Linked DNA regions of Bombyx mori. The main gene of each other region encodes a partner of the protein of the gene in region 3 in a complex. Links are inferred from orthologs where the notes say so. Each region holds a gene or a part of one and is shown on either strand. Other genes may lie near its edges. The genes, in order: cyclin-C, mediator of RNA polymerase II transcription subunit 31 and mediator of RNA polymerase II transcription subunit 18.

Region 1 (10,832 bases), about 5.6 Mb from region 3:
TAAAACTGCCTTTGTAACACTTGATGGGCAGTATGAATACAACCGCATGCCTTTCGGACTAGTTAATGCACCATCTGTGTTCCAAAGGACAATCCATAAAATATTAAAGGAGGCCCAAATTAAATATGCTGTTCTCTACATGGATGACATACTGATACCATCCAAGGATTTTAGGGAAGGCATCCAAAGACTAGGCGAAGTTCTCACACTGAAATTAAGTAAGTGCTATTTCTTTTTGAATGTCATAGACTTTCTAGGGTTTGAAGTGAGTGCTAATGGTATCCGCCCAGGTAGTAAAGAAAAAACTGAAGCCGTCTCAAAATTCCCAACACCTACCAATCAGCACGAATTGCGTCAATTTCTGGGTATGTCTGGGTTCTTCAGACGGTTTATACAGGGATATGTTACGATAACTGCACCGTTAACGGATTTACTGAAGAAAGACGCTAACTGGGGTTGGCCGAACAGGATCAGGCGTTCACAGGCACTAAAAGCGCTCTGGTGGAGTGACCGGTGCTAGCTCTATACGATCCTAAGTCCGAAACCGAGCTACATACGGACGCTTGCAAAGAAGGCCTAGCGGGTATTTTACTGCAGCGTAACTGTAATGGTGCATTGCAACCAGTTTCCTACTTCAGCAGGAAAACTACCGCTGACGAACGCAAGTTTCATTCGTACGAGCTCGAAACTTTGGCGGTCATTGCATCTCTCAATCAGTTTAGGGTTTATTTAGTGGGAATACCATTTAAAATCTTGACCGATTGCAATGCACTCAGGTCCACTCTAACTAAGCGTGACTTGATACCTCGCATAGCTAGGTGGTGGGTCCAACTTCAGAAGTACGACTGTACAATCGAGTACCGGCCTGGTGTTAGCATGGCACACGCGAATGCCCTAAGCAGAAACCCAGTCAATTCTTCTTCAGGTAACACATGTACTAGATGTTTTACAAATACAGCAAATCGAACAGGACTGGATTACGACGGTACAAACTGCAGATGACGAGATAAATAAAATCAAAAGGATTCTTTCTGACCCTTCATCGGCGGAGGTAGCGGACATACACAAAAACTACAGACTGAAGAATGTCCATGTTTACCGCGTGGTAGGTGACGAAATAAAATGGCTGGTACCCAAAAGTGTACGCTGGCAAATTTTAAAAATGAACCACGATGACGTTGGCCATTGTGGTTTTGAAAGAACCCTACAGCGCATCCGAGGCCATTATTGGTTCGCGAAAATGCGGCGTCTCGTCCGGAAGTATGTTACCTCCTGCCTTGAGTGCGCGTACCACAAAGCTCCAGGTGATAAACGAGAAGGAGAACTCCACCCAATCGAAAAGATAAAGGTACGAGTTTCACCAGTAAGGCGTTTCAAGATTTTACGACCTCTTACGGGATCAAACATATTGTAAATGCCGTTGCAACGCCTCGAGCAAACGGGCAAGTAGAAAGGTTTAATAGAACGATTTTAGATGCTCTATCGACAGCCAATCACGGCGGCGACGACAAGTCGTGGGACAACCACATCACTGATATACAGGTTGGTATGAACACAGCTCGACATAAAACTACCCAAAAGAGCCCCTCTGAGCTACTATTTGGATTTAACATAATTAATAGAACGGAAAGCATACTTAGTACGGTAATCAATGACACCCTAAATAGGACTCCCATTGAGGAATTGGCGGAAGTCAGACAACAGGCTAGTAAAAAAAAAAAAAAACAGCAACAAGTTAAAGATGCAGTCAATTTTAATAAGCATAGGAAACCAGCGAGGCAGTACCAAGAAGGGGATTTAGTACGCTTAGCAAGGCAGGCTCCGCACGATGGAAAATCTCAAAAGCTCTCTGTTAAGTACCAAGGCCCTTATCGTATACTAAAGGTTCTTCCCAATGATAGGTTCGTGGTAGAAGATATACCAATGACTCGCAAAAAAGGTAGAAGGTATGAAGCAGTTGTATCTATTGATAAGATTCAGCCTTGGATGTCGTTCTGTAGAGAATTAGAATCTGATGAATCTAGTTATAGTGTTGATGACAGTGATTACATACTTGATTACTCAGTTTATGTTTGACATTTAGTTACTTAAGAAAGAAATTGTTATTTTAATTATTATTTTGATAGAACTTAAAACCATGGAAACGATTTAGCGATAGATATGTGTATGTACTTAGTATTTATAGCAAAAAAAATGTTTAAAAAAAATGTTACACGTCATATATAAACCTAGTGTATAATTAATTGCATTTATTATTATTATTTTTTTTGTAACATATATATTTTGTTTTTTTTTCTTGATCTCAAAGCGAAGGGTCTCGCTTTAGGTAGGATGGCCGAGCTGTAAGGTTTATGATTATTTATATTAATATGATTATATAGAGTGTAAGGTTTCTGATTATTTATATGATTATATAGAGTCCTGTACATATTAAGAATTATTATTAAATATGAGGTTTATATTGCAAACCATTAAAATATTGTTAAGTTATAAATTCAACAGTTGACAAATGTCGTCAATAGATGTCACAGGCTAACAAAATTACATCGCGGTAGCGTTGTGTGTAAAAATTTGTATAAGAAGTCCAAAGTAATTATGAATAAATCAAGAACCAAACGCATCAATGTAAAATTGGCAGATTAAAGCAAAGTGTGAACAAAGTTAGCCTGTTTAATTTATATGTCTGACACCCAAAAGGATGCAGAAAGAGAAAAATGAAACTATATAACGTAATTCTTCATTCCAGAATTAATCAGACGAATATTATTTATAATAAAAAGTGAGTTAAAGATTTATTCTGAGGTAAATAACAACAATTACAGTATTGAAAAATAAGAATTTATTACATTAATATCTCCTAAAAAGACAGTACCAACAGTCTTAATTTTTAAAGATGCATTCCTATTATTTATTTTACATAATTAATCATGCTTACAAGAATAGCACAATTTTTAGTATAATAAACAATAATAGTTAAAATTGGTAAAAATATTTTTTATTTTATCATAATATTTCATTAATTGTTAATGGAACTTTATGGTTATTGTTAGAATTCCACAGGTGTCTATTATTATAGTACCACCAACGTACCATCAGTAACAAGAAATCAATGTTTTTCAAACCATTAACTACTCCCCAGTGTTATGTCAAATGTCATATATCTGCAGGTAATAGTGGAGCATGACCCCTAGTTTATATATAAATATTAATATTTATTTGTTTGTTCGTATTTTATGTGCCCGCGTCTATTGAATTCAGCCACTGCATAAAGTGCTCAATGTACAATTTCACCAATCATACTTTGACTATACATGACATAATTATTCCCTGAATTGCTAATAAGTTTTAACCTGAAATGTGTAACCAATAGTAATTTATACATATATATCTATTTAAAGGATCCACCTCATTTTCAATGTTCAAAATTGTTAATGTTGACAAATGTTGTAAAATGTGAACAAATGCAACACAGTTAATGAATGAAGTATCAATGCTCAAAAACATGCAGACAGATAAGACTAAATTCATTAGAATTGCCTTTTTTCTTTAGCTTTTGTCATCTTACTTATCTTTGTCAGTTTACTTATATGAACAATGTTATTGGGCAGCATAGCAATACAATGACATTATTTAAACATTAAACTTGAAATAAAGGAATAATTTACTTTTGTGTCTAAAGGCTACAATAGGATACAATAGTCTTAAATCACATAACAACCAATAAAGAGAGTATCTTTGGCTTGTGATGGAAAATTAAATAACTTAGTTCTTGTTCTTTTAATTTATGCTCTAAAGTGTGCTCTACACTGTATTTGTTTATGGTTGAAAAAATTCATAAAAATCACTTGAAATATAAGTGACCTCATCAAAAATAGTAATTTCTTTTCCTAGGGAATTAAAAACAAATTTTTCATGTCTACAATTAAAAATTATATATCCATTATACAAATCCATACTACAAAATATGTCTTGCTATCTCTGGGGAGCTGGCTTTGGTTTGGGCATCTTGGACAATAGCCCTTGTATTTCTTTTTTTTCATCATAACTTTTCCACATCTCATAAAGGTTAATGATAGCTCTCACAATTTCTTGGATCTGTAAATTTGAATTTTTAAATGAGTAGTTTCAGAAGTTTTGTAATACAACCACACAATAACCATATTTTTTTTAATTTTAATATATATTCAAGTATATTTCTCACTTTATCCATGTCAACATTTAGCTCAGCAAACCAAGGTTTGAGATTGTCTTTACCAAGCATCACACATGCTATTTGTAAGGCACCAATTGCAATCTGTAATTCAAAATATAATGGCAATGAAAAGTTTTATGAATAAAAAATGAAATGTGACTATTTGCATTACATAAATCATACCTGATAGGGTGGGTACAACAAACTAACATCTGTTCTCAAGGAATCGTTTACTATTCTCCAAGCGTATGTCAGAAGTTGATCATCTTGTCCTATGTCTTGGACAAAAAGTAGTAATGGTCTATATGGTTGGTATACAATTAAACAACAATCTAAATTTTCTAGTAAATAAAATTCACACTCCAGAATGTGATTTGTCCTGTACGGGAACTCTTGTTGTCCATAAGCATAACTAAACTTATTTTTTATAACTGTCTGGCAGGTTGTTATTAATCTGGAATTGGATATAACACCAAATTCTTCAACTTTAGATGCAAGAAATACGCATGTTGGTGCCAAAAGAAGTGGATCAATACACTTCAAAGAGTTCCTTGCATAAAATCTTTTAAAGTAAACTGTTGCAGTTGCGATTACTTGCTGACGAAGTTTAAGTTGTTCGCCTAAAACTTGAATTATACTAGCAAAAAAATTAAATACTTTTTGGTATTCTTCTTCTGATAAAATATTCAAATCAAACTGGCGATCGCGCCTTAGCTCTTGCTTATCGAGTATCCATTGTTGATGATGTGAGCTTTGCCAAAAATTTCCAGCCATTTCTTCAAAGGCAAAACACAATAATTATTAAAATTTGGTAAATTTTGATTTATCAAAAAAACATACTTTTTTTACAAATTTAACATTTTTCCATCCATTCCTATTCTATGAAACTTTTGAAACTGTGTATTTTAGTAATATGTATGCATAACCAGGGGGGTGCAACTCCCATACAAAGGAAAAGAACATTCAACTAGCGTCATCTTTAGGAACCGGCGAGGTCATTTTTGAAACGTTTTGGCCTTAATGATCTAATAAACTCACTAGATGGCAGGTACGAGTTCTGACTCAATAAAAAAGGTTAGCGTACTTTGAAGCAGTGCTTCCACTTTTAGGGAATTCTCCCTTTTTTAGGGAAAAATAGCTGATATTTTGGATGATAAAGACAATTTAAAAAATACCAGGATTTAGGATAGTTCGGGGTAAAAAGCAAAGCCTATACTAGTAACTGTTGTGAATTTTAAAATAAACGATAATTAAAGTAAAACAATGAACATTTTATTTTATGGAGAGAGAATGACATTAAGTCGAGTTGACAAGTAAAAGAATAAAACAGAGTTGTGTATAAAAACTATAAAGAAGGTTTGATTCAACAGTAACCCTCTAGTAAAGTAAATTATAGATTAAGCCACTGCTTTTTTCTTAGGGATTCCCCAGAATCCCAATAAGTATAATCCGCCAAACTTTTATTTACCTATTTTCGTTGATGTCACCAGAACTTACTTGTATTGTAATATACAGGTACTTCATGTACCATGAAAGATTATCATGGTAATTTCATTTACGAAAACCTTGTAATTGTCATTTCACTTTTGCTAGCAGTTCCTTCTTCAAAGACTGAGGTGGAAAGATAATTCAGTGTTCTCAAATGTAAAAACTGACAAAAGAAACAGGCTTTCTAATGAAACCCTGAACGGCTTGCTTCATAGAAAGTTCCCAACTTTGCCAGCAAACAATTGCTCAATTTTAGAACCGAACAGTGTTAGGTTGCGTGCAGCAAAAGAATATAAAAGCAATGCGTCGACTTCCTTGAAAATTCTAATCCTATATATCTATGATCTTCTGGGGGCGTTTATATTATATATACCTACATTAAATAATATGCTGTGGTTTATTTTCTGTATTTTATTTATACTTTCTATATAAAGGATTTATGAAAGTTGTCTAGGAAATTTTAGGGATAAATTCAAAAGAAACTAGGGTAAAATGTGTTTAAAAAAACGTAAGTGGAAACACTGCTTTGAAGTTTTCAAAATTCCAGGGCCGTAAAACAATCTCAAAAAAAAAAAAAAACGTTTTCAAAATGTCGTAACGATTTAATTTTTTAAATCGTTTTTTTTTTGTCTTGGTGTGAGTTATTTTACGTTGTAGTATTAATTTAGAGCATCTTTTAGCTTTATGAGAATATTAGACGATTAGACATTGAGAAACTCTGTTTTGAATTCTCTTTAGACATAACTTGGTTCCAATACTTTTTTCTTCGTTAGCGTTTCGTAAGCCTGTGTAACTATTTTCGTTTCTTACAGAAAGTTTATTATTAAAAATCAGCATGCCTCGAAGATCGAAAATGAAATGCTATTTCGGATGCCTTGATAACGGTGAGTTTACACTATTTTCCCGGTATATTATTTGCTAACAGAATTATTATTCATAATATAATTAAATGAATTAGCACCAACTAATGGTCCTTCCTATTTCTGCTGCCTAGCTATCATATATGTTAAGTTTGATCAAAACAGTCGGTGTTAAGTCTCGTACTATCACACACACACCTCAGATAATAAAATTGTCTCGAGTGGGTGGAAGTATTTATGTTTTGCAACTCAGCGTATTATATGCTTATTGTCAAGTGGGCCCGAACTAGTTTTTTGGAATGGAATAAACAGGAAAGCATGACTGATTGATAGTCATGCTTTCCTGTTTAAATAAAATACAGCACAATTGATCTCACATCCAAAGTTAAATGATGGCATTCACATTTTGTTTCCTGGTGTTTGATAACCAAGTTACACCAAGTGGCCTGTGACCACGTTCATCCTTCTACCCAATATAAAATAATGTTTTTATTTTTGTAGACAAAGGTTTGATAATGACAAAATTTTATGGAAAAATTATAAGGAGCACTAAAATGTCTGAAACATGAAAAGATTGATGCACTATATTTGAACCAGAACGTGTTATGTAATATATTAATTTGTAAGTATGATTACATTAACACTAAATTTTTCATGGTCGTATTTTTTCAATATTTGTTACATACTTAAGATACTTTGTTTCTCCGTTTCAGAAGAGAAACTGATTCAGCAAGGAATGTGAACTCACAAGGGATCTTAATTTTTTTTAAATATGTTTATAATTTATAAATTAATAATTGAAATAGTTCATAAGAACTAAATTGATGCCAATTTTGTTTTAAAATAGGTTGTTTAGTTCTTATAGTTATACTATTACGTTTTGAATAGTTGTAATTAGTAAGTTAGTAATATATGAAAATACTGATATAAATTTTTGTAAATGAGCTTTTGTAAATTCTACGAGAAGATGATTTTAATTAATGATCAAAAGTCAACGATCTTCAAAAGCATTATTTGCAATTATTTAGATTAACTGTGGAATATATTTGCTAAGTTGTGTTTTCTGTATGAGCAGATATAAATGAAAATGCCCAAACATGATTATGTTTCTTACATTTTCATTATGTGAAATCAATATGCTTGTGACTGAGTATATTAATAATTTATTAAAACTTAAGTGATAGACAGCAACCCCTATGGCACTGCTGAAGTTTATAAGCACTGGTGACCACTTATCATGAGCCGGGTTGTGTGCTCGTCTGCTGTTGAGTGCAATAAAAATTTTCGAGACCCTTTCTATTATTTAGATGTAATATTAATGTACATTTAATTTGGATTAAAAGATAAATTTACATTTTATGTTTGCATGTGTATGTTTATAATTCATTTGCATGTAACGAACATCAGTTTCTTTTGTAACAAAATGCAAACTAATGGTTTGTAATGAATGTAATTAACTTTAAGATGATTTTCTTTCAATCTGCTGTTTGTTTCATCTAGTATTACCAAAGCTAAAGCATCAGAAACGTCAGAATAGAAATAATTTAGATAAAGAATAAAAGTATAACTATTGTAATCATGTCTAAGATTACTATAAGTGTCATTAAGTACAAACTATCAATATTTAAGAGTACTTTAAATCATCATTACATTTTTTAAACATTTTTTGTTTTTTTTTTGTTTTTCAAATCATGTAACAAAACGTTTGTGCAGAACAAAATGTCACATGTTATGAACATGATTGTGGGTTAATCGTTTCTTAAATTTCTAAATGTTTATAAGAATGCTAAGAATAATTTAGTATTCACTTTAGTGTGTGTATTATCTCTACAATGCTAGTTTAAATGACAATTATTGTATGACGAAGCATAGGTAGTATTTATAGATGTAATATTTTCATACAAGGTCATGATCTGTCACGATCAACTTTAAGCAAGAACTGCTATCATTAAGAAACAAATTTATTAAATTTAATTCAAATTGTCTACTATGTTTATAATGGAAAGCTGACATGTTTATATTTCGCACAAATGACTTAATTGACATTGAATGATTTGATTATCTAGACTTAATTAACTTTTAGATAACTTTCGATTTAATGTTAATAAGTACGCTAGTAGGATTAATCTAGAGGAGTTATTGTTATTCGAAGTTTTGTACGTTCATACAATCTTTTAACCGAAAATTGTTTGTAATATAGGGAAATTAAATAGCTTACAGAGAATTACAGCTTTTTATTTTAAAAAACTGTTTTCTCTCTGTATGAAAAGATCTTATCGATTAGAATGCTGAACACAATCGAACATTCCTTAATATCTCATAAGTACTACCGGGAATTCTAGCGATTCTAAACGATAAGATTTTTTCATAAAGAGAGTTGGTAAAAATATTAAAATTACTAAAAAAGCCACCTGGTGGGGGGTAGGGAGACTAATAATCGACCGTAGCGACGCCTGCTGGACCGGGCTTTAACTAAAGCAAAAATAAAAATGAGAGTTGCGCATCTATCTCTAATATATTAAGTGTATAATCTATGTGCATAACTGATAAATTCAAGTAATTATTAAAAACACTGTACATGTTTTGACAATTTTGACACTGTTCATGCTTTTTTTACGATTTTATTTCCCGGTTTTCATACAGAAGTGACAAGAGGCTCACTGAATTTGGCCCCCTTTTTTTTGATTTTCGGATTTTTTTTATTTTTAATTATTTGTTCGTCGTTTGTTCGTTAATATTCGAATGTAAAAATTGTGTGTTCGTCTTTTATTTATTTATAATTAATTAAACCAATGATCACCCTTAAGTTGCAATTTTATACGCGGGAGGAAATGTCCTACTTTTCTCCCTTGGTGCACAATGTACTTTAATGTCAAATTTGATTCGACTGAGTACTTCGAATATTTTGTATGGGTTAACCATAGGTAATTTTTTCTTCAAAAAATTCAAGGCATGTAATAACATGGCTGTGTCTATGGTATATTAATTGATATATAAAATTTTATATCAATTATTTATCAGTACTTTTAATCTAGACTAATGTTACTACTATGCTCAATTAATAAAATATTTAATATTGATTAATTATAAAACTGTTGTTTATTTTTAAACTTTTTAATAATAAAAGAAATACATTAAAATGTTATTATTATTTAAATAATATTTATTTTTGTTGATCGTTTGAATAATGATAATAATAATTCTATTTCAAAATTAAAATAAATATATTTAAATCCTAAATTGTTATTAAAAATTGACAAATAAAATTATTATTAATATTATTTAAATTTTAAATAAAAGAAATAAAAATTTATGTACACGTATATTTCATTTAAATATTGGCGCTTACTTGACGTACTATAGCGCCACATTACGATCATAAGGAACACAGCTTACACAGCGCCGTAACTTGGCTACTTCAGTAAAAAAAAATCTGGCTACCCTGTTCATGGTCCGGGCATATACAGTGTGCTTCTTTAAAATACGCACATATCAAAATGAGGGAATCTATGCTTAATTTTATCGAGCAAAAAATATTTAAAAATGCTAAAAAAAAAATTTTTATTTTTTGTTTTTTCTTAAATTTTTGTTCACTACTGTGACTCCGGTGTAAACAAAACGCTGTAACTTTTGAACTAAATGATCTATCGCGGTCAAACAAATTCCATAATGATTCGAAGTATTTAAGCGTCCTCATGAAATGAAAAAGTAGGAGAAAATCTCCCCTCCATTGAAAATAAACACGTTTTTTTAGCATAAATCTGTTATTTTTTCATAAATTTTTACAACAATCCCAAAATTTCTCAAACAGACGGGCCCTTTACCTACTTTTTTATTACTTAAAGTTATTTTACATCGTATCAGCTACCCATTAGTAAAAATTTCATGTTTATACTCAAATATAACATTTTCTATTAAGTGTTAAAAGATGGCAATCCGAATGTGCTATTTATTGTTTTCCTAAGGATGGTTTATTTGGTATGATAGTTAGTACAAAAGAGTTCAATTAAAACCATTTATTATTTTACACAAAATTTAATGCATGTGATTCTCAAAATGTCCATCAAAGAGGTGGTTGTAGGCACAAAGCCGCGCGAATTAAAATTTGTTGTGTCGCTCTCCTCATTATTTCAAGATTATTGCGAATATCATTCCCACAATTATTATAAGTCATGCAAATCTGCCTTATTGTTGATAGGGGTACTGTAGATATGTTGCTTCATGGTCCCCCAAGGAAGTAATCATGGGGCGTCAAATCGGGTGAACGCGCAGGCGCAGGCAGATAGAATCAG
Region 2 (10,644 bases), on a different chromosome or scaffold from region 3:
CTGCCTATAGAATTAGCAGATCAATTCCTTGATCGTTTGGCTCCTCCTTCTGCTCCACTCAACGATCCTATCCTGTCTTATAAGCAATATAACTCTGATGCCCCTTCTTCTCTAAATCTAACTTTTACGTTAGGGGAGTTAAAAGGTGTATTAAATCACGTCAAAGACAGTGCTCCAGGGGAAGATGGGATTCCATATTCCTTTTTGTCTCACCTTGGCGAAAAAGGATTAAATTACTTTTTAAATTTAATAAATAAAATTTTACTGACAGGTGACATTCCACCGTCATGGCGAAGTCAAATAGTATTGCCATTTTTAAAGCCGTCTAAGGTACAATCTGATATCAAATCATATCGTCCGATAGTTTTGTCATCGGTGATCACAAAAGTTGTTGAACATTTAATTAAAAATCGGCTTGAATGGTATATAGAAAATAACGAATATCTGTCCCAAACTCAGTTTGGATTTCGAAAAGGTAAAAGTGTGGGGGACAATTTAGGCATATTAGTTACGGATATTCGTAATGCTTTCTCAGATAAAAAGTCAGTAGTTGCTGCTTTTTTGGATATTAATTCGGCTTATGATAACGTTCTATTACATATTCTAAAAAGTAAATTAGATAAATTAAAGGTTCCCTATTTTTTAACTAATTCCATTGTAAATCTTCTTTCGGAGAGGAAAATTATTTTAGATGTTGGCGGCCCTTATAAGCCTAGTAGGCTGGTATGGAGAGGTTTGCCACAGGGGTCTGTTCTGAGTCCTTTATTGTACAATATTTATACATATGATCTAGAAGGTTCAGTCGGAGATTCAGCAAGTTTATTACAGTATGCCGATGACTTGGTTATTTATGCCTCTGATATGTCTGTAAGTACTGCTGAACGATATGTTTCCTCCTCTTTATCTTTGCTAAAAATCTGGATGGATGCAAATGGCCTTGATCTGTCTCCCTCAAAAAGTACTGTTGTACTTTTCACCAAATCCCGTACTCCTTGCTCACTTAATATAACATATGATGGGGATATATTACCCATTAGGAATCAAGTTAAGTTCTTAGGAGCTATTCTTGATTCTAAACTAACGGGTCAACCACACTGCGAATTTGTGGTTAGTAAATGTGAGCGAAACTTGAACATGCTGAGATGTCTCGGTGGGGTTTGGTGGGGTGCTCACCCGGCTACACTGAGGTTGGTGTATAATGCTGTCATTAGAAGTGTACTGGATTTTGGGACCTTTTTCTTAGACCCAGGTAATGTGGCTGGCTTTAGAAAACTAGATCTCATACAGTCTAGGGCTTTGAGGATTGTTTCTGGTGCCATGAAATCGAGTCCGGTTAATGCTCTGCAAATAGAATGTTGTGACCCTCCTTTAAACTTAAGACGTCAATATCTGTCCGATAGATTCATTTTTAGAATTGTTCAGTTCCATAATCATCCCCTCATTTCGAAACTAGAGTTTCTTTCTAAAAAAGTACCCTCTTCACATAAACCTTTACCTTGTCTGTTAAAAAGTTTCCTGAAATTCAAACAATTACAAGCCCCAACTCATTCTTTTCAGGTGCTTCCTTTATTTGGCGCTTCTTATGATTCTCTCTTACTTTCTCCAGTGATTTGCTTTTCTCTTGGCATTGAAAAATCTGATTTTAATGCCAATGAAAATTTTAATTGCAATGTCAATAGTAAATGGCCTAACTGGCATCAAATTTATACAGATGCATCTAAACACTCCAGTGGGTGTGTTGGTGTTGGAGTGTATCACAAACAGTACAACATAGTTCAGAAAATTAAATTACCTCCGGAATCATCGGTCTTTACCGGTGAATGTTTTGGACTATTAAAAGCTCTTGAATATGTGCTGTCTTTCAAACTAAAAAAAACCGTTATATTTACTGATTCCTTAAGTGCATTACAGAGCTTAGCAAAATTTTCACTAAAACTTAACCCTTTTTTTCATGTAATATTTGAATGTAAGAGAAAGCTGTTGCACTGCCAATCACACAACTATTTAGTATCATTTTGTTGGGTACCTAGTCACTGTGGCATATCTGGAAATGTGAAAGCTGACAGTTTGGCCAACAGTGCTACTGTGACCGGTGACGTATACCCGTACAAGAATTTTGGCCATGATCTTGCTGCTTTGCCCGGCATATGCCTCCACAAATCGTGGAATATGTGTTGGGAAGAGAGCGGCCGGATTAAGGGTCGTTTCTTGTATGCTATACAGTCTTCCGTTCCCAGGAAGCCATGGTTTGCCAAATTGTCGTTTGGTAAAACCGCCACTTCTACTATAATTCGTATGCGTCTGGGACATAACAGCCTTCCAGTTCATTTGCACAAACTTGGTATCGTAACTAGTACCGCCTGTGAGTGTGGCGAGAGTTATTGTGACCTGAATCATATTTTCTTTTCTTGTTCTTTATATGATCATTCTTCCTTATATACTTCTTTAGTATCTCTCTCTGTTCCCCTTCCTACTAATATTTCTTTACTTCTTCGAGATTTTAATCCCCTTGTATATAGTATTTTAAGTAGGTTTATATTAAATAATAACATTAAACTATAATTTTGATTTATTTTCCCTGTTATATAATTATTCTGATTTTTTTTGTAAATTCAATTCGTTCTAAATCATTTATGTTTTGTTGCGATAAGTTTCCTTCGTTTTTTATTATTTATAAACTGTAAATAAATAAAACGGCGAATTATAAAAACGTTATTACTTGACGCTGGCTAATGCACAAAACGTGCCAGAGCCAAAAATAAAGAAGAAGAAGAAGAACTGCGTTTATACCATAGAGTTACTACTTATTAACTCCATGGTTTATACATATATTAAGTGTATAATCTATGGTTTATACTGTCTAATTATTTCATAAGTGGATCAAAAAAATATTGAAAACTTCAACAATAATTCAACAAAAAAATGTCGGTGAAGAGTGAAGACGGTCAATTAGTCGTTAAAGTACAATTAGCGTGGTTTTCAGTTCAGTTATTTTTAATGATACTATTCATTACCATGCAATAGGAGATAGTTAAGATACTTGTATTTTATAATAAAATTAATAATTCCTAAATTCATACTTAGTTCAAAAAATGTAAATATAATGCACACAAAATCTGTTTTTGTTGAAATGATAATTATTTATAAGTTCAAGAAATATATTGCAGGGACATTTAGTAGAAATTCATTTAATATAGAAGAATAAACTTAGTATATATACTTATACTCTATAAACAGGATTTTTTAAGAATAATTATATCTATTTGATATATATAATAATATTATAATAATGATATTAAGTATAAATGAAGCTGATTAATACGAAACATGGCATGAAATGAAATGAGATGAGATGATATGGAATGAAATATAATTTCAGTAAAATGGTGGTTATTTATTGAGACTTTTTCTGTGGACTTGTTGGAGGATCCCGAGAAGTTATGTTCAGCGGCTATATTTTATTTTCCCACATTTGTGCACTTTTACAGATATTAAACAGTTAATAAACCAGCTCTATTAAACATTTAAACCAGATTTTTTTTAAGGGATGTTATGACCTGTTAACTAAGACCTTTAAGTTATATTTTATTTTAATTTATATTCTTATTTTTATGAAAAATTATAATATGGAGTGAAATGAAATGAAGATGATTAATTTGAGAAATTAATCAACTGGGATGAAATTAAATGGAATGAGATAATATGGGATGAAATATAATCTCAGTAAAATGGTGATCATTTACTGTGGTTTGTTCAGTGGACTTTTTGGAGGAACCCATTTAAACTTGAAGAAACATTAAATAGACAAAATAAAACAAATCACACAACTTCACTCATCGCGTTCCCGCCAAAAAGTTTAGGTATAGTACCTTTAGGCCAAATATTAAGCCTAAGTAGGATGATGATCATAGTCATAGACTAACTTAATGTGTAGTGTAGTATTGCTCGTATATATTAAGTGTATAATCTATGTATATTAAGTGTATAATCTATGTAGTATTGTGTAGTTGTGTTACGTTGTGTAGGACTCGGAAAAAAATATATACACAAATTTATTTATGTGATTTAATTAATTTAAAAATTTTAAGAGCTTACTAAGTACTGTGTAACATTTTAGTAATGATAAAATCTTAAATATCACATATTTATATAAGGATAAAATGAACTGTCTTGTGTAACCTGAAAATATGTTATTATTTTGGTCATAGATTTGTTGAGACGTACACCACTGACCAACTTGTTTAATTTTGAATAATTTAAATACTCCAGCTGCATATATTTCGGGTTCAAAATGATGGCTGGAAAAGGTAAGAAAGAATGAAATAATTTTATTTAACAGTTTGTTATTTCATGATAAATTAATAATCTTTAATTTAATTGCAGTAATGCCAGAAACTGAAGAGCAGAATCGAATAAGATTTCAAGTGGAACTTGAATTTGTGCAGTGCTTAGCAAATCCAAATTACATTCACTGTAAGTTGCCTTTTTGGTTTTTGTTGTTAGACTTCACACTCACCTGGTATACAATGATTACTAGAGTACATAGACATCATAATGTAAATGTTGCCACTTGAACTTATGCAGGCTAATGCTGCTCACTGCATACATACACTTATGGAAACTTATAATGATAACTTAATGTGATGACTGATCTGAAGCTATCAAGTTGGTCATCAAATCATCACAAGAGGGAAATAAGTAATAAATTGTTAGGTATTTTTCATACCGGTTTAATGATTTTGTTATTGTGACTTAGTTTCTAATCGTCTATTTTGTGATTAAATGTTTTTCTGCCCAGTGTTTTTAAATGTTATGTGTAATGGATGTCAATTATGTCAACTCTGTCTATTTACAGTTTTGGCACAGCGAGGTTATCTTAAAGAACAAACTTTTGTAAACTATCTTAAATATTTGCAATATTGGAGAGAGCCAGAATATGCTAGATATTTGAAGTATCCCATGTGTTTGCATTTTTTGGAGTTATTACAACATGAAGCATTTAGAAGAGAATGTGTATCGGCACAAGTGAGTACAAATTGCACCTACTAAATTATTTTCCATATAATCTTTGCTTGAGCGGTAGATAATGCCATAGGTTTTAAGTCCGCTGATAAACATTCTTCTTCTTCTTCTCTGTCGTTTCCTCATTGCTGAGGGTCGTGACCACCTTGGTCCAGTTTTTGAAGTAGTGTTTATATGAAGGTTTGTTGTGGCCTGAAGGCTTATCGCTCAGGCTGACCTGACGCATTCATATCAAGCGATACAAAGGTGTTCAGATCCTGCAGGCAGGTTCCAATTATTATAATGAGATACATACTAAACAAATGTTCACTATTGACTTCCACAGTTAAGGAATAACACCATCTAGTAAAAGAATCAAACTTGCGAAATTATAATTTGTGTAGTTACTGGTTGTAGGATGTCTTGTGAGTCCGCAGGGGTAGGTACCTCTACCCTGCCTATTTCTACAGTGAAGTAGTAATGTGTTTCGGTTTGATGGGTGGGGCAGCCATTGTATTTTTTTTTGTTTAGGCATTTACTTTGTACATGTCTATGGGCTCAGGTAACAACTTAACACTACTTGGCCTTTTTTTTTTCTGATATAGTTTTATGATTTATAGGTTTCACAGTATGATGTTTATGGGCTTAAAACCAAAACAGAGCTTGACTTACAAATCAACAGTAAAAAAAATATGCAAATGAAATTGAGCTAGTTTGAATGTAAGAATATAAATTTGGTAATTGTTAATGACCACGTACAAGTTACTGCAAAAGTCATATTATTATAATTTATTGGCTTTTATTTACCACCTCATTAGTAGCTGTGCTTTATTCTTGTACTCTACCAAATATAAAATTTATGACTGTGCCAAACTGGCCCTTGACCAAATACCGCTTTTAATTTTATCCGATAGCAGTATAATTTGTATGTATTACAATTTTTAAATAAAGCCTGTGTTTAGATCACTCTGATGGATAGGTACTGTTCAAAATATCTTCATTAATGAATGATTAATATTTTCCTTAAGGTTTGCAAATTCATGGACGATCAAGCAATATTGCTATGGCAACATTATACTCGTCGGCGTACACGCACGTTACAACCGCCGGACGCACCGGCGCTTCCTGCGCCGCCCGCACCGCCACAACAAGGTCCACCAAGACAACAAACTTAGGATGTTCATGATTGTTGTTTTAGAAGTGAGTGGAAAATAAAATAAACTTTTTATAAATCTATACTTAATAAATAAATCTACAGTGGTTTTTATGGATGTTCCGTTATAACTACTGAACCATGCATCCGATTGACTTGAACTTGTTATCCATGTAGAAAATACATGTACATAATGGATAGGCTAATTATATGAGTGTTGGACTCCCTACACCAGTTGCGGGGGCGTTAATGATGTGAATCTTTGTGGGGGTGAGAAATAATAATGTTAATTTTAAATGCCCAGTGAAGCGGACGGGTACAGATAGTAGTGTATAATAATGTTAAAAAAATATTGGGCATGTCCTCTAGTAGGATGTCCCACCGGGGGACAAAGATCTCCCTCTAAATTATCTAAATGGGTGTTAATGAAACCTCTTTGTTATGTTATAAAAATAATTTGGCTGATATTAAAATATTTGTTCTGTGTAGTAGTAAAATATACGTAGTCTTACTCATAAAAAATATATTTAATTACTTGAAATGGGCACTGAACGTTTTTCAAAACGAATTTTATTTGATTGAACATAAACAAATCCTTTGTATAATAACCGGCAAACTTCTTGAGCATTTGTTGACGTAGTGGGGGTAAGTTTGCGCATGGTACACTCACGTGCAAAAACATTACTTACTCTGCGTCATAATGCTATTAAATTATTAAAATGAACATATGTATTTATTTATATATTTATTAGAACATTAACAAAACATATAGGTTAATAATTGTAATAATTTAATCTTGGGGTAAAATAGATATTCCTTCTATTAAGTCAAAACTAGAGCTGTTGCCAGGTCTTGGTTCAGTTGAAGCGAAGCTGGTATTTGTAATTTTTTTTCCGTTATCATAATCTTGACCATCATCATCATCACTGTTTTCATCACCCGAGTCGCTATCATCGTGATGAGTCGACATAGGGCTCATCGGCGTAGTTTACAACTCGGTCGATTCGGTCTTCTTTTTTGTCTATAATTAATTATTTTTTGAAGATATTCGATTCGTAGTAATCGAATGTTACTTTTTTCATTTACCAGCTTCCGATTATTTTCTGTTCTTTTTTTCCATCTGAAGCCTAGCTCTTTCATAATTCGTCGTAAGCTTCATTCCGAGCCATTAAAATTTAAATCTTCTTTAAATGTTTCGAAGCCTTTCGACGGTACGGAGTTTCGCTGCTTGTTATGTAGTTATTATGATTACATCTTTTTATTACACATTGAACGAAACTATCCATTCCGGTAACTTTCTTCTTCCCTGATCTTTTCTTACCCGGAGTCCGCAACACGGCGAGCAAGCCAGAGCCTTTAGCTTCGTTAATAATGCACCTAACAGTACTCACTGATGTTTTTGTTGCTTCCGAAGTCTGTTTTAATTTTTCCATATCATTCTTCCCCTGTTTTATAATGAAGCAATATACGTCGTACACAAATTTTCTACCCTTTCTTTTATAAGAAAGGGTAGAAAATTTGTACTTAAGTACTACACCAGTTTGTCACGGCATAGTGTATGTTTTATAAAAAATCAACAAACACTCAACAAATAGCAATGGCAACAAAGTCCACAAGCAATTATAACAAATAACTTAACGATTAATAACGATAGACTTTCCACTGTACGCAAGCGTACTTTTGGGAGCAAGCGGAATGAGGGCGCGGTGCGGGACGCAAGGTTCGACTGATCTACCAATAACGCGCTCGATACGATTTCCCCTGCCGTCGCGCCTCACCCTCACCACCAAAGTGATCTAAAATTCGGTTCTGCGCAGTCAAGGTCATTTGCTCAAGAAGTTTGCCGATTACTATACAGATAGATATGCAGTTAAATGTGTGCCTAGCTAGACTGAATTATGTAGTTTAAGTTTTGAGGTTAAGAAAAGACGAAATAAATTTATGTATTTTTCAGATCGGTTTTTTAATTATATTAATTCGAAATATATTATTATTTTTTATTGCATGTAATGTTATAAGGTAAACGGCCTTTTTTCTTCTTTGTCGTTATCACTCTTGACAGAGTGGTCGTGGTCATCACTTCAGGTGTCGGTGGCAAGCTTCGCAACACGCCGCTAATCTTCTGACGGCCAGACGGCTATTTTTGCCTCAAGAAGTGATAGATTATCATTTATCCACATACAGATTGTAGATAGAAGAGTCGACTATATGGCAAGGAATTATAATTATATACATAAACAATAGGGCTTTATCATTTGTATCTTTTGCATCAACAAGGATATTTTGAAAATACGAGTAATTATAAAATTTTGTCTGTCGAGTTTTTTTTAGCATAGACATAGGAATGAATAAAATCATTAGTTTATCGACACAATGCACATCCATATATTTCTAAAATAATTTTCGTGACACATAAAAATTAAACATAAGAAATAATTTTAATTAGTGAAAGGATGCTTTGGACGTCGTCTTGCCATGCACAGCGCTCGGAGAGTGAGGTAGTATATGAGTTCTACGGCACTCATAATACTGAAGCCCATACACAATCCTAGAAGGCCACCCGTGTTCGCTGAAAGCATTATTTGAAGCAAATACGTTGTATCAACTTAACTTAAAGCTATTGTTGAGTTGAGTTCTATTTTATTGAATACTTTAAATCAACATATTTATAATTTATACAGTTCAGATTTAAGTTTATGATATTGAGGGGTGTAAGGCTACTTTTTGCATTTTTGCAGATCTGTGAAAATCTGTTTTGAATTTTTGGTACAAATATATCACAAAAATCTTTTGCATCTATTTGAATGGGGTAAACAAAATTCAAATTCAATTAAAAACATCGAATTGTTGATACTAATATTTTTATATTTTTTATTGCCCTTGTAGGCAGACGACCATACGGCCCACCTGATGGTGAGTGGTTAGCGTCGCCCATGGACTTCAGTAATGCCAGGGGCAGAGCCAAGCCGCTGTCTGCCGCTTAATACTCTTCACAAGCTTCGTTTGTAGAAGGACATGTCATAACAAATAAAACGCACCTTTAGTCTAAACCAGTGATTCTCAACCTTTTTTTTTGTTGCGGCACATATTTAACGATTTCAAAATTTGGCGGCACACAAAAAAAAAGATATAAATTATTTACTTACTACAACACACGGCATAAATAGTTTATCAAAAAATTTTAATATACGAAATAAACTACAATATACTATAAATTTTTTTTGTGGATTTAAATATATATTATATTCATGTTTAATATATTTTTCTTTTAAAATGATATAATTTAATAATATTAACATTATTATATATTCGCAAAATTTGGCGGCACACTTTTGAAATTTGGCGGCACACAAAAGTGCCGCGGAACGGTGGTTGAGAATCACTGGTCTAAACCAAACAACTTTTCACCCCTCGATATAGTTAGTCTTTTTTGACGACTGCAAACTTGGATCTACACACTAATTATAACAAAATATTGTGCATAGTGTATACTGTCATATGTATTTGTTCTAAATATTAAGTGTGCTACTAACTATTAGTATTTATTAGGACGGGGTAGTGAATTAAAAAGTAATCGATATTCTAGACACAACTAGAATTTTTGTCATTTGATAAGGACATGCCAAATTTTTTTCTATTCTGTAATTTAATCCACGGATCTTATAAAAGTATTAGGTTATTTAGAGAATCATGAATGTGAATTTTATTCTTAGGTGATGTTTTGGGAAGGGAATTGTTTCTTACATAAAAATTCTGTTAGTCCAAATATTTCACCCTTTGTGAACCTCAAGAAGGTGTTGTCTTCAAAGAAAAAGTGCACTACCAGCATGTTTTCACTGAAATCGTAAAATAAGTTTTGTTTTAAGATGGAATAATTGAAATATTTTTTTTCTCCTACCTACGCCGAAAGTTCGGTTTCCCTCCCGGTGTACAGGGAAGAAAGTGTAACTTTTCCTCCCTGGGTACTGACAAGTGCGCATGCGCGTTAGTGTCTACTACGGCTGCTCTCACGCACCTAAAATTCTCCGCCATTGTTGTGCTCGGGTAGTTTTCAATACTGTGTTTAGTGTAAAAGTGAAATAAACAAAAGGCAATAAAATTTAATAGTGAAGTATTAAACAAAGATGAGTTCATCAGACAGTTCTTATTCAATTAGTAGTAGTTTATTAAAAAAAACAGTTAAATTGTTTTTTTATGAGTATTCCCCCTACCCCCTGCCAGGGCTTCGCCCCTGGACCCCACCGGGGCTTCGCCCCTGGACCCCGGCTCGGTACTCCACGAACTTTCCGCCTGGTAGGAGAAAAAATAGTATGTGCATCGCGGGAAAAAAGTAGGACATCTCATCCCGCGTGTTTGCAACCAATGCAATTTTACACGCGGGAGGAAATGTCCTACTTTTCTCCCTTGGTGCGCAATGTACTATTGCCGGTTTGATTTTTATTACACGATGTAATTCCTTCACCGTGGACGTCAGTCGTGATCATTTGTTA
Region 3 (10,820 bases):
TTGTGTCTGAATTGGAGAACTAACTCTCTGGGACAGGTCTCCAAGTGAGGTGAACTGAATTCTGTTCAGTTCAACCCTTTGAAGACACTGGCTTGCGCGTTCATTGCGAAGATGAAACCTTTTGTCATAGCGCCGCAATTTCAAAGAGTATCACTGCAGCTTTCCGCGAGTATAGGGATTCTGGGGGTCGATATTTCGAGTCGTGTTCAGTATCGGTGTTTTGTACCGTATGTTCCATGGGGAATGCTCTGATCCTCTCATCGCCTTTTTATCACCACACCTCCCGCCACCGCTGCAGAGCTCATCCATATTATCTGTAGCCGCTACGTTCATCGACAGTGCGTTTCCTAATATATTTTTTGTCACGTACCATCCGGCTTTGTAATAAACTCCACTCCACGGTGTTTCCCGAGCGCTATGACATGTTCTTCTTTAAACGAGGCTTGCGGAGAGTACTTAATGGTAGATAGCGGCTTGGCTCTGCCCCTAGCATTGCTGACGTACATGAGCAACGATAACCACTTACCATCAGGTAGGCCGTATGCTAGTCTACCTACAAAGGTAATAAAAAAAATGATTTATGTACATGTTACTCCTTTCAGTCTTACACCAATGTCACCCGTTCCTTAAATAAATAATTTCTATTATTTCTACGAACTAAATACAAAAAACACGTAAAAACATTATACCATTGAGCATTGAGAAACCAAACTATAAGTCTCAAGTGTTTGAGTCATGACTACCTTCATGCTTTGAGCTGAAATTAGAAAATTGTTTCCAGTACATAGTATGGGTTTGAGTTATCAATGAATTCGTAACAAGAATGTATGAAGGGTAGAAGTAAGGAGAACCGTCTCTGTGTGTAAAAAGTTTCCGTTAAAATCTGCTAAATAAGGGTGGCGCTACAGTAGCAACCGGGTAAATTTAAAAAAAATGTGCTGAGAGTTATTAGAATAAGATAGAGAAATAAAAAGGACGAAAGCAATGTAAGCACTACAAAATAACAAAAAGTATTTTATTTAAAGCTGATAAGAAAATGCAAACGATGTCTCCACGTTTTACCACAGCAATAATTTTAGGTTATACTGACGAAATTAGTTTGGACTACGTAGACATGTGAGGTCTTGTATATTAGTGTCACTAACTACTCTAGTCATTAAATATATTAAATTTCCTAACTCAACATAGTTCAATCAGTTAACAACTGCTCAGTTCATATCATACCCTGTGCCTATGCTAGCGCCATTCTGGAGGATATTTGAACTGTTATTGAGTGCTGAAAGTGGGACACTTTTGCAAGCTTCTCCCATATGAGACGGTTCTCCTTACCTCTACTCTCCATAAAAAATGACATTGGACTCCTACATAGAGTAAATAAAAATATAGAATAAAGTATTTGATTCAATAAGGCCATTCATTAAGACATTTGAGGACAAACAAAGGTTACAGACATATTTGATTAAAATAGGAACTTAAATATTATTTTTTAAGTTTTAAACTTGATTTTCTGTCATCAGCTAGCCTATTCTTGTATATATATTTTTTAATTAAAGAGAAAAAAGGTCAACGACCATTGCATGTCTCATGTCTTCCTATTAAGTGATCATAACAAAGGAAAACTGTTTGAATTATCGATAAACTTTACACTTAAATCGCTTTCGTTGTGTCCTTGTTTCAGATGTGGTATTTGCCCTACGTACTTCCAAAAAATATGTGCATTTGACGCAAGCACCAATAATACATTTATATTCGACAATCACTGCGTTATGGATTTGTACAATTGTTTACAAGGAACAGGTATAGAAACACTTGAACATATTTTGCTCCTTGAAAATTTTTCCCTGTAAAATTTTACGAATATTCAAATTTTACTGCAGAAACATAACTGTCAAGTATACTGCACTGTGGAAATGTTTTTTCTAGCATCAGGCATAGTTTCGAAATTATTGAGATCGATTAATGTTCTATAGTTATGTTGTAGATCGCCTGTAGGTTCAAGTTACCCAACTGTCTACGATACTAAGCTTTGGTACCTAATTTATTATTTACTTACTGGTAAATTAACTTGTGAATACGGTATACAGGAAACATTGGTTGAAAAGGTTGACGTTACGTATAGCAGTGAAATGGCCTTATGCAATTACTTTTTTTTGCTTTCCAGAATTTGTTACTTTACATTATGATAAATGTCTTTATTTCGGCAACTTTGCGTACGTTCACGGCTACAAATATGAAGATTTAGACTACGGCGAAGACCATATCATTGTGAAAGACACGGTCAAGAATCCCGATTTCGTTTAATAATTAAACAAGAATTATCCTGTTTTGATCATGTTTTAATTCATTCTTGCATGTTGACCTATTAGTATTTATTGACAGATATAAAAATAGAAATTAAACATTTTAGACTATTGAGGAGTAAATGCTATTCTTAGAAATAGAAATTGAAAGTAATCGGTGCATATTATATTTTAGTTACGAGATTACGAATACAAAGTTTTGTAAAATGTAGCGTATATTAATTGAAAATGGATGCCGTAGTTTTCTCTTGGAATAATCTTAAATTTGTTTGAAATGAGTATTGTATTTATATACATTTATCAATCGAATATTGTCGTAGAAAATTTGTCTATTTTTCTTCATTTCACCAGACTGTTGCTCAAATTGTTAAAGTAAGTTCTGAGTTAGGAACATGGGCTATGAAACCGACATGTGCCCGAGTCTCTTGTAGTCGATTTTGTCGAGCTGCACTAGAGGCCTGAGTTGGTCGGCGAAGGCTCGCATATCCTCGCCGATAGCGTCCTGGCCTTGTGGTGCAAGAACCTGAATAAGAAAATGAAACTATCAGCAGTTCACTACACCCTTTTCCTTTATACTACTAAATAGGCTCAGCACAGTAAAACATTATATGTCAACTGTCTTTGGGAATAATAGTAGGTGTAATGTAATTCGTGATTGTGTGGCGGGTCATACAACGCAAGATAATTGACAGATGCCTGAATCTCGCTTACGACATTTTCAAGATAAAGCGCATATGTACAAGTTCCGAATAACAACATTCGGACCGTCGGTCTACCGAGCAAATATCACCCGCTCGGTGGAAGATCTTCCCTCCGTCGTTATAAGCTTCCCAAACTGGTGACCTCCGACGTGATGTGAACACGCAACCTTCTGATTCATCATCGGCGCATCAAGAACTTCGGCTACCACAATCCCCGCATTCTCGCAGATAAAAGCAAGTCATCGACAGTCGTCCCACAGCAAGCCAGCATCGCAGCCTCAACAGGACCATCGCAGCCGACTAACCGCGCTTCTTGGCCCTACGGCACGCACCTACACTGCCTCATCGCGCAGCATTCAAGCTCAGTCTCGACTCACCGCAGACTTCGAGCAGCACTGGCGACAATCACGCAGCATTCAAGCTCAGTTTCGACTCACCGCAAACTTCGAGCAGCACTGGCACTTGCAAGCTAATCTCAGCACGGACAACGATATCTAAAAATGACACGACCTCCAGTCTCGGAGGGGAGTGATGTGGCGGGTAGCCATCATACAACGCAAGATAATTGACAGATGCCTGAATCTCGCTTACGACATTTTCAAGATAAAGCGCATATGTACAAGTTCCGAATAACAACATTCGGACCGTCGGTCTACCGAGCAATATCATCCGCTCGGTGGAAGATCTTCCCTTTGTCGTTTAAGCATCCCCAAAATTGTTTAAGTAGCAGAGTTTATATAACATTTTGGGCGCACAATCCTTATAGGACTCAGGACTCACTATCAGCAAATAAAAGTTAGTCTATCATCTTATTCTTATATATTATAGGTACACAGAAAATGATACTAAAATAAGACTTGTAAAAGAATGTCCAATGGTGAGTTTAATGTATTAATTAGTCTTTTGTTCTAACAAACCTAAGGGAACCAAAGATATTAAAGAAGGGTAAAAGTCTTCAACAACTGAAATACACTACACATCACATAACATACATGAAATAAAATAAATCCACATTGCTCTACAAACATCAACTACATACATTAATTATATAAAATCTACTTAATACGTACAAATAAGAAGAAAAAAAAACAATTGAAGCTTATTATTGAGCCTTACTTATTCATGGAAACCTGTAGGTTAGGTTACTTATGTTTTTATAGCTTGAAAAAACCAAGCTGTTTACATCAAAACCAAGCCAGCAAATTAAAAATCTCTTCCTTATTTTTAGTTTATTTACAGTAGATTGGGGAGAATAGAGACTAGAGTTAGAATAGGGACAAATCTGGGATGTCACAATACTCTTGTTGGGTTGTTAGATATAACTTTGTTGCACTGAAGATGACTATTATTTAGTGTTTAAGAATATTATATAGTTTAATTCAGATATCAAAACTTTGTATCTCATTAAAGATATAAAAAATTAATTACCTAAAGTTAGGTACCTACCTAAGAACTAAATAGTGCCAGCCTTATCGAAAAACTCTGTTGTCCCCATACATAGCGTATTTTTTTTATTGCCCTTGTAGGCAGACGAGCATACGGCCCACCTGATGCTGAGTGGTTATCGTCGCCCATGGACTTCAGCAATGCCAGGGGCAGAGCCAAGCCGCTGCCTACCGTTGTATACTCTCCACAAGCCTCGTTTGAAGAAGGACAAGTCAATGAGAGAAATAGCCTCATTCAAAGAGAATCGGGTCAAGCAAGTTTTTTAAGGTTTTGTGTATATTTTGTGACTATATGAACTATATAAAATAATGAATCGTATTTAAAAATTTAAACCTTCGGAGCCATTTTAATCTCAATTTTATTGGTATTACCCTAAGAATAAAAGCATTGAAAATTTGTTTTGGAATTGGAAAGGGTCCCCATTTTCCCCAATCTACGGTACTTAAAGATCATATATAATCATCATACTCAAGCAAAACCAGAAAGCGGTATTGTTTGGGAAATTTGACAAATTATTTAATTGGGTGTCAAAAACTTACAGAAAGCTCCACAAGATAGCTCTGTGAGATAGGTTCAGGTGGCATTGAATTTTGAGAAATCTTAAACACTTTTGCTACAGTAATTTTCATACGACCTTTTCTAAACATGTAACCTGAAATTTAGAATTAGAAAAAGCTTAATGTTTTTTATAAAATTACCGTAATTGATTGATTTTAAATGAACCACTGAAAATTATATGCAATTTAATTAAATCCCAAATCTAGGTAATACTTTAAATTGAATTAGTATTTTTGACTATTGGTCTTCTTTGATTCGTCATTATTAACAATAGTGGTATAGTAATAGTGATGATTTAGAATATACTATCAAATACATGTACAATCATATTACTCATAATTGTCATTATAATAAATATTATTACCTTTTACACTGTATTCAAATTCAATTCGGCATCCTAGCTCATTTAAAAATTCAATGAGCATTCCACTGCAGGCTATATCAAGACTGGAACGGACAACTGTTGGCCTATTTTTGTCCCCCAAATCAGGCTGCCCAATGTATCGTAACTGAAATGGCATGTCTCGAGCATCTAATGCTTTACGAACACGCAACATGAGAGGGGGAGCCTGAAATTTAAATTTATTAAAGATGAACTATTAGAACATGAAAGAAAAATATATAGATTCAGGCATGTCTTTATGCTCACGAATTGTACAGTATTAATAGTGATTACCAAATCATTAGCACTTTTCTTGACCAAACAGGTGACAGCCCAGGCAAAATTTAATCAATTTATAATTTAATACAAGTTTTATTGTATTATAATTTTATAACCATTTTATATTCTAGTGTCCTAAAATAATAATAACATTAACAGAAATATTTTAAAAAGTTCTAAGTATTATTATTACCTGATGATGATTAGGATCCCGTAGACTGAAACACACTTCCTGGTCATCAAATGTTTCTGGCCCAGCATCAACATTGTCACAAAGACCACGTAATCGGTGAAGTAAAACTTCTACTGCCGAGTCCAACACTGAGCCCTTAATCAAATTTTAGTGGAATCAAAAATTAAATGTATAATATTCAACAATTAACAAACTTGACTGAATCTTGAGAAAAGTTGCTGCCTGTTGCCTAATTATCATAATTTCCAGCTATGAAATACTGTAAAATTGAAAATCATTAAATGAATTATTTTTATTTATTAAGAACAGCATTGTAGGCATTGTAACTAAGACCTTATCTCATGTTTTTTTGGGCTGCTATTATATGTAAGCTATGTATGTATGGGTTCTGATAATATTTTGAATGTAGTATGTAAACAGATCAAATGGGTCAAAAGAATTGGATACAATAGCTGCAACTATGGTAATTAGTTCTGTTAAGTATGCAATTTATGGAAACTGTAGAAGAATGTAGACTATATTGTAATTATTCTGAAATTTAAAATAGCTGAGCCACTTCAACATCCTGTAGTACCTGAAGTAAGTATTCCTGATTTGGTATAATGTTCGCTTTTAAAGCTTGCGATAAGCTATCTGTAGCTGTTATAGGTGCAGCGTTTGCCGACATTTTATGGAGCTGAAAATCTGAAAACCTACTTCAATAGCAGCTATTTAAAGATTTAAGTTTTGAAGAACTATGTGTGAGCCAAGAAATCATTACACTTATAAACGACTTTTCTGTCTCATAGAGGTGCATTCAGTCTAAATAGTCCATATAACCGAAACTATAAATATTGCGTAAAATAAAAAACTAGGCAATTTTAAAGGAGAAAATAAATTCTAATTTCTAATTAACATAATCTAAATACTCATATTGGAATTTAACAAGGTAGAGATATGTTTGCAATCGCTGTTAGCTTGACAGTTACTAACAATGTTGACATTTAGCCTCATTTAGGTGACATTTTGTAATTTCCTTTTTCAAATACAGGAGAGAGAGGCAATGGTATCGCATCATATTATCATATTGGTACGGCCGTATTTGTTTTTAAACATTTTTTGTCACCAATGATTCTACATGCGAGGAGTGAAATTGTGTGATTTGTTTTATTTTGTCTATTTAGTGTGTCTTCAGGTTTAAACCTGTAATAACGGTTGTTTATTAACTGTTCAATATCTATGAAAGTGCACCAATGTGGGAAAATGAAACCAAGCCGCTGGACGTAACTTCTCGGGATCGTCCAAAAAGGCCAAAATCTCAGTAAATAACCGTCATTTTAGTGAGATTGTATTTCATCCCTTATCATCTGTTCAGTTCTCGTTCAATCACATGAATGAACAATGAGTGTGAAGAGTTAATCATTAATTTCAAACTATAAAAGAATATTATTTATATTTTACAATAAAATTGTATTAAAGTGCTCCAATATATGTTACTAGTAGTATGTAACTACAATTACTTTTTTTTATTTTCATTACATACCTATAATTGTTATATTTTATACATCTATAATTTCAACTATATGATGTATTGGAAATAGGACAGTCTTACAAGCTTCCTCGCAATGTTTTTCTTAATGTTTAAAACACTCGGTATTCAGTGCAGGTAGATACTATAGGAACATAATATTTCGTCGAAAACTCATTGGTTGTACAAAGCACGCCTAAAATTCGAACCCCGTACCCGATATCGGCAATTCGGCACACTAACTATTCACTAGACAATCGAGGCAATTTCATTAATTCAGGAGTTTTTTCAATCGTTCACTTTGTCACAACACTATTTTTATTTCATCAAAACCTGACAACACAGTAAACGTCAGTTGACTTCGTCTAATAAAAAATCCGACTATAGGTCTATGAGTTCGTTGTACACAATTCACAATTAGCAAAGAGGGAGCTTAAAAAAACATTAGAAATGGTCAGTCATGTATCTATAAAACTCGCATCTGAAAGAGTAAATCATTCGGTTGCCTCAAATAATGACCCGCCGCGTTTTTACACTCCTGGCGAAGTCATAACTGGGATACAAGATTTTATGAGGTCGGTATTTTTTGCGAAAACAATATTGTTAAGAATTATTATTACTATAAATTTAATAATTTTGCACTTTAAGAGGCCACGGAACTTACGCAGAAGATGATTGCCTAAAAGCATCTGTTGCTGGGGTTATGCAAAAAGTAAATAAACTTATATGCATTCGCCCATTGAAGAGTCGTTACGTTGGAGAAATAGGCGATGTGGTAGTCGGAAGAGTATTGGAAGTTCAACAGAAAAGATGGAAAGTTGATACCAATTCACGACTTGATTCAATACTTCAACTTTCTTCAGTAAATCTACCTGGCGGAGAATTGGTAAATTAACGCACACTTCCATAATATAAAGCAATCTTCTTGTATCTAATGATAACTATTTATATATTTTTTTAAATCCAGAGAAGGCGTTCAGAAGAGGATGAGCAGATGATGAGAAAACATTTACAGGAAGGTGATTTGATAAGCGCTGAAGTACAGAATGTATTTTCTGATGGTTCGCTCTCATTGCATACAAGAAGTTTGAAATATGGCAAGGTAATCAGATTTTATGAAGCCAATAAAAAATGACTATTCTAAAGTTCAACAAGAATGTTATAAGGAAATTAAAAATATTCAAATATGTAGCAACATTAAATTTTGAAATCCTCCAAAGTGAAGATGATATTTATCCTTCTGAGTAGATTAAACATGCTTCATTAGCAAATTGATTACAAGTCTACACAAACACTTAAATCTGCTTTAATTCACTACCTATATGTTTAAATAAATAAAATCAAGGGGCGTAAGGCTATTTGTTTTAAGTGACACTTCGCTTACTACATGGCATCTATCTGTGTAATTAAAGGTAAATTTTATTTGGTATTAGTTTATACAATTAATTGTTTTTAATTGAACACCAATTAAGTATTCTCCATTGAAATAGCTGGAGAAGTTTTGTCATGTTTTTTTTTCAATTTTTAAATTACATGACTTTCCTCTAAACCAAATAGCCCTTCATACCTTAAAATAGAATCATTCATACAGTCCTCTAATAATAATTAATATCACAAAATGTTGAACTTTCTACTCCTTGCTAATACTAAAAAAAAATTAATTTAAGAGTTTGTTCGAAAACTTTATTTTTTGCAGCTTTCACAGGGAACTTTAATAAAAGTATTCCCGTCATTGATAAAGCGCAGAAAAAATCATTTTCACAACTTACCATGTGCAGTATCTGTCATAATAGGGAATAATGGATATATATGGATTAGTCCACACAAAAGTGATATTCTTATGGAAGGAAATAAGGATGCAATTGAAAATTATGAAATTCAGGTGGGTTAATGCTATCAGTGTGCAGTGTTCGGGAATAGGAGTTAAGAAAGATAAACGATAAACACAAGTTAAAGATTTATTATATCATTTTCACTAAACTTTGTGTTTTTCCATGTTTTAAGAAAATAGAACTCATGCATGTTCTCATGCCCTCATGAAATTGTTGCATATGCTAATATGATGCTGATATCATTTTTATTGCAGCCTGTTGGGAAATCAGAAAGAGAAACGATGGCGCGAGTGAAAAATTGTATTTTGGCACTTGTGGCATCTAAGATGATGTTAGATGATACTAGCATAATGTTTGCATTCGAAGAAAGTCTCAAATACGACAATGTAAAGGAACTCTTGGATCCTGAAGCTATGCTTGACGTAGCATTTTTAACTCAGCATAGAATAAATATTATTGCAGAAGAGTGACTTTATTGTGTTTTAATTATAGCTAGAAAATATTAATAATAAAGGAAATACAGCTTTTTCAATACCACAAAGTTTTCTGTAAATTGCAATTCACTATGGATAGGGCGAACTGATCGTTCTATGTAAATCTGTGTACAATTGCGCTTACGTTTTGTATGGATGGTTGAGTTTCGAAATCGTCGTGGCCTAAAGGATAAGACGTTCGGTGCATTCGTATCTAGCGATGCAACGATGTTGGAATCCCGCAGGCGGGTACCAATTTTTGTAATGAAATACGTACTTAACAAATATTCACGATTGACTTCCACGGTGAAGGAATAATATCATGTAATAAAAATGAAACCCGCAAAATTATAATTTGCGTAATTACTGGTGGTAAGACCTCTTGTGAGTCCGCATGGGTAGGTACCACCACCCTGCCTGTTTCTGCCGTGAAGCAGTAATGCGCTCCGGTTTGAAGGGTGGGGCAGTCGTAACCATACTGAGACCTTAGAACTTATATGTTAAGGTAGGTGGCGGCGTTTAAGTTGTAGATGTCTATGGGGTCCAGTAACCACTTAACACCAGGTGGGCTAAGAGCTCGTCTACCCATCTAAGCAATAAAAAAAAAGTTAAATTAATACAGTTCATATAGACATCAAATCAATCGCATCGAAGTTTATAAGGTCTAGTTTATGTAGGAATATGCCAGCATATATACCAGCTTTATGTACAAATGGTTTTAACTAAACTCGATTATACCTGTCTGTTATGCATGCACGCCTAAAACCATCATGCAACACCTAGCGTGTATGACCTCTATAATGGAGTTATGTTCGCGCGCAAACAACCAAGCGGCATAAAATATCAATTTTGATATTTGCTCGGTAGTATGTACATGCACCGATAACTGCACAGTTTAATCACATACACGCTAAGGCTTGCCTGTCGGTTATGCATGCACAGCTAAAGCCATCATGCAAAACCTAGCTGTAAACAGTATAGTTGTACCTACATGTACATTTGTTTATCATCAAGACATCATATTAGCGTCCTTTGTTTATAAACGGTCGCTATTCTATGTTGCGGATAAATTGTAATAATTTACTTCTTAAGCTTACGACTAACTGATGCTTCATACGAAAACTGATCTTCATGGAAAATTCAACCTTC

The links.
Region 1: mediator of RNA polymerase II transcription subunit 18 (region 3) and cyclin-C share a complex: the UniProt entries of both Caenorhabditis elegans proteins name them as parts of the mediator complex. The link is inferred for Bombyx mori from reciprocal best matches to the Caenorhabditis elegans genes mdt-18 and cic-1.
Region 2: mediator of RNA polymerase II transcription subunit 18 (region 3) and mediator of RNA polymerase II transcription subunit 31 share a complex: the UniProt entries of both Caenorhabditis elegans proteins name them as parts of the mediator complex. The link is inferred for Bombyx mori from reciprocal best matches to the Caenorhabditis elegans genes mdt-18 and mdt-31.

What each region holds. Positions count from the first base shown.
Region 1 is NC_085121.1:11,202,136-11,212,967, reverse strand, and holds cyclin-C, read right to left. Parts: upstream 6,255-10,832; 5' UTR 4,967-6,254; coding exon 4,376-4,966; intron 4,295-4,375; coding exon 4,202-4,294; intron 4,096-4,201; coding exon 3,973-4,095; 3' UTR 2,823-3,972; downstream 1-2,822. UniProt on the Caenorhabditis elegans protein: Component of the Mediator complex, a coactivator involved in regulated gene transcription of nearly all RNA polymerase II-dependent genes.
Region 2 is NC_085122.1:5,742,629-5,753,272, reverse strand, and holds the start of mediator of RNA polymerase II transcription subunit 31, read left to right. Parts: upstream 1-3,980; 5' UTR 3,981-4,291; coding exon 4,292-4,307; intron 4,308-4,383; coding exon 4,384-4,473; intron 4,474-4,855; coding exon 4,856-5,025; intron 5,026-6,029; coding exon 6,030-6,176; 3' UTR 6,177-6,201; exon of another isoform or gene 6,202-8,107; intron 8,108-8,108; exon of another isoform or gene 8,109-8,141; intron 8,142-8,216; exon of another isoform or gene 8,217-8,464; intron 8,465-8,515; exon of another isoform or gene 8,516-8,592; coding exon of another isoform or gene 8,593-8,723; intron 8,724-9,898; coding exon of another isoform or gene 9,899-9,990; intron 9,991-10,644. Other genes in the region: pickpocket protein 28, read right to left, coding at 8,593-8,723, 9,899-9,990. UniProt on the Caenorhabditis elegans protein: Component of the Mediator complex, a coactivator involved in the regulated transcription of nearly all RNA polymerase II-dependent genes.
Region 3 is NC_085121.1:5,592,678-5,603,497, forward strand, and holds mediator of RNA polymerase II transcription subunit 18, read right to left. Parts: upstream 6,846-10,820; 5' UTR 6,527-6,845; coding exon 6,434-6,526; intron 5,995-6,433; coding exon 5,860-5,994; intron 5,575-5,859; coding exon 5,370-5,574; intron 5,100-5,369; coding exon 4,987-5,099; intron 2,824-4,986; coding exon 2,698-2,823; 3' UTR 2,316-2,697; downstream 1-2,315. Other genes in the region: uncharacterized protein LOC101737360, read left to right, coding at 1,679-1,797, 2,162-2,301; exosome complex component RRP4, read left to right, coding at 7,817-7,941, 8,015-8,252, 8,334-8,468, 9,063-9,248, 9,453-9,668. UniProt on the Caenorhabditis elegans protein: Component of the Mediator complex, a coactivator involved in the regulated transcription of nearly all RNA polymerase II-dependent genes.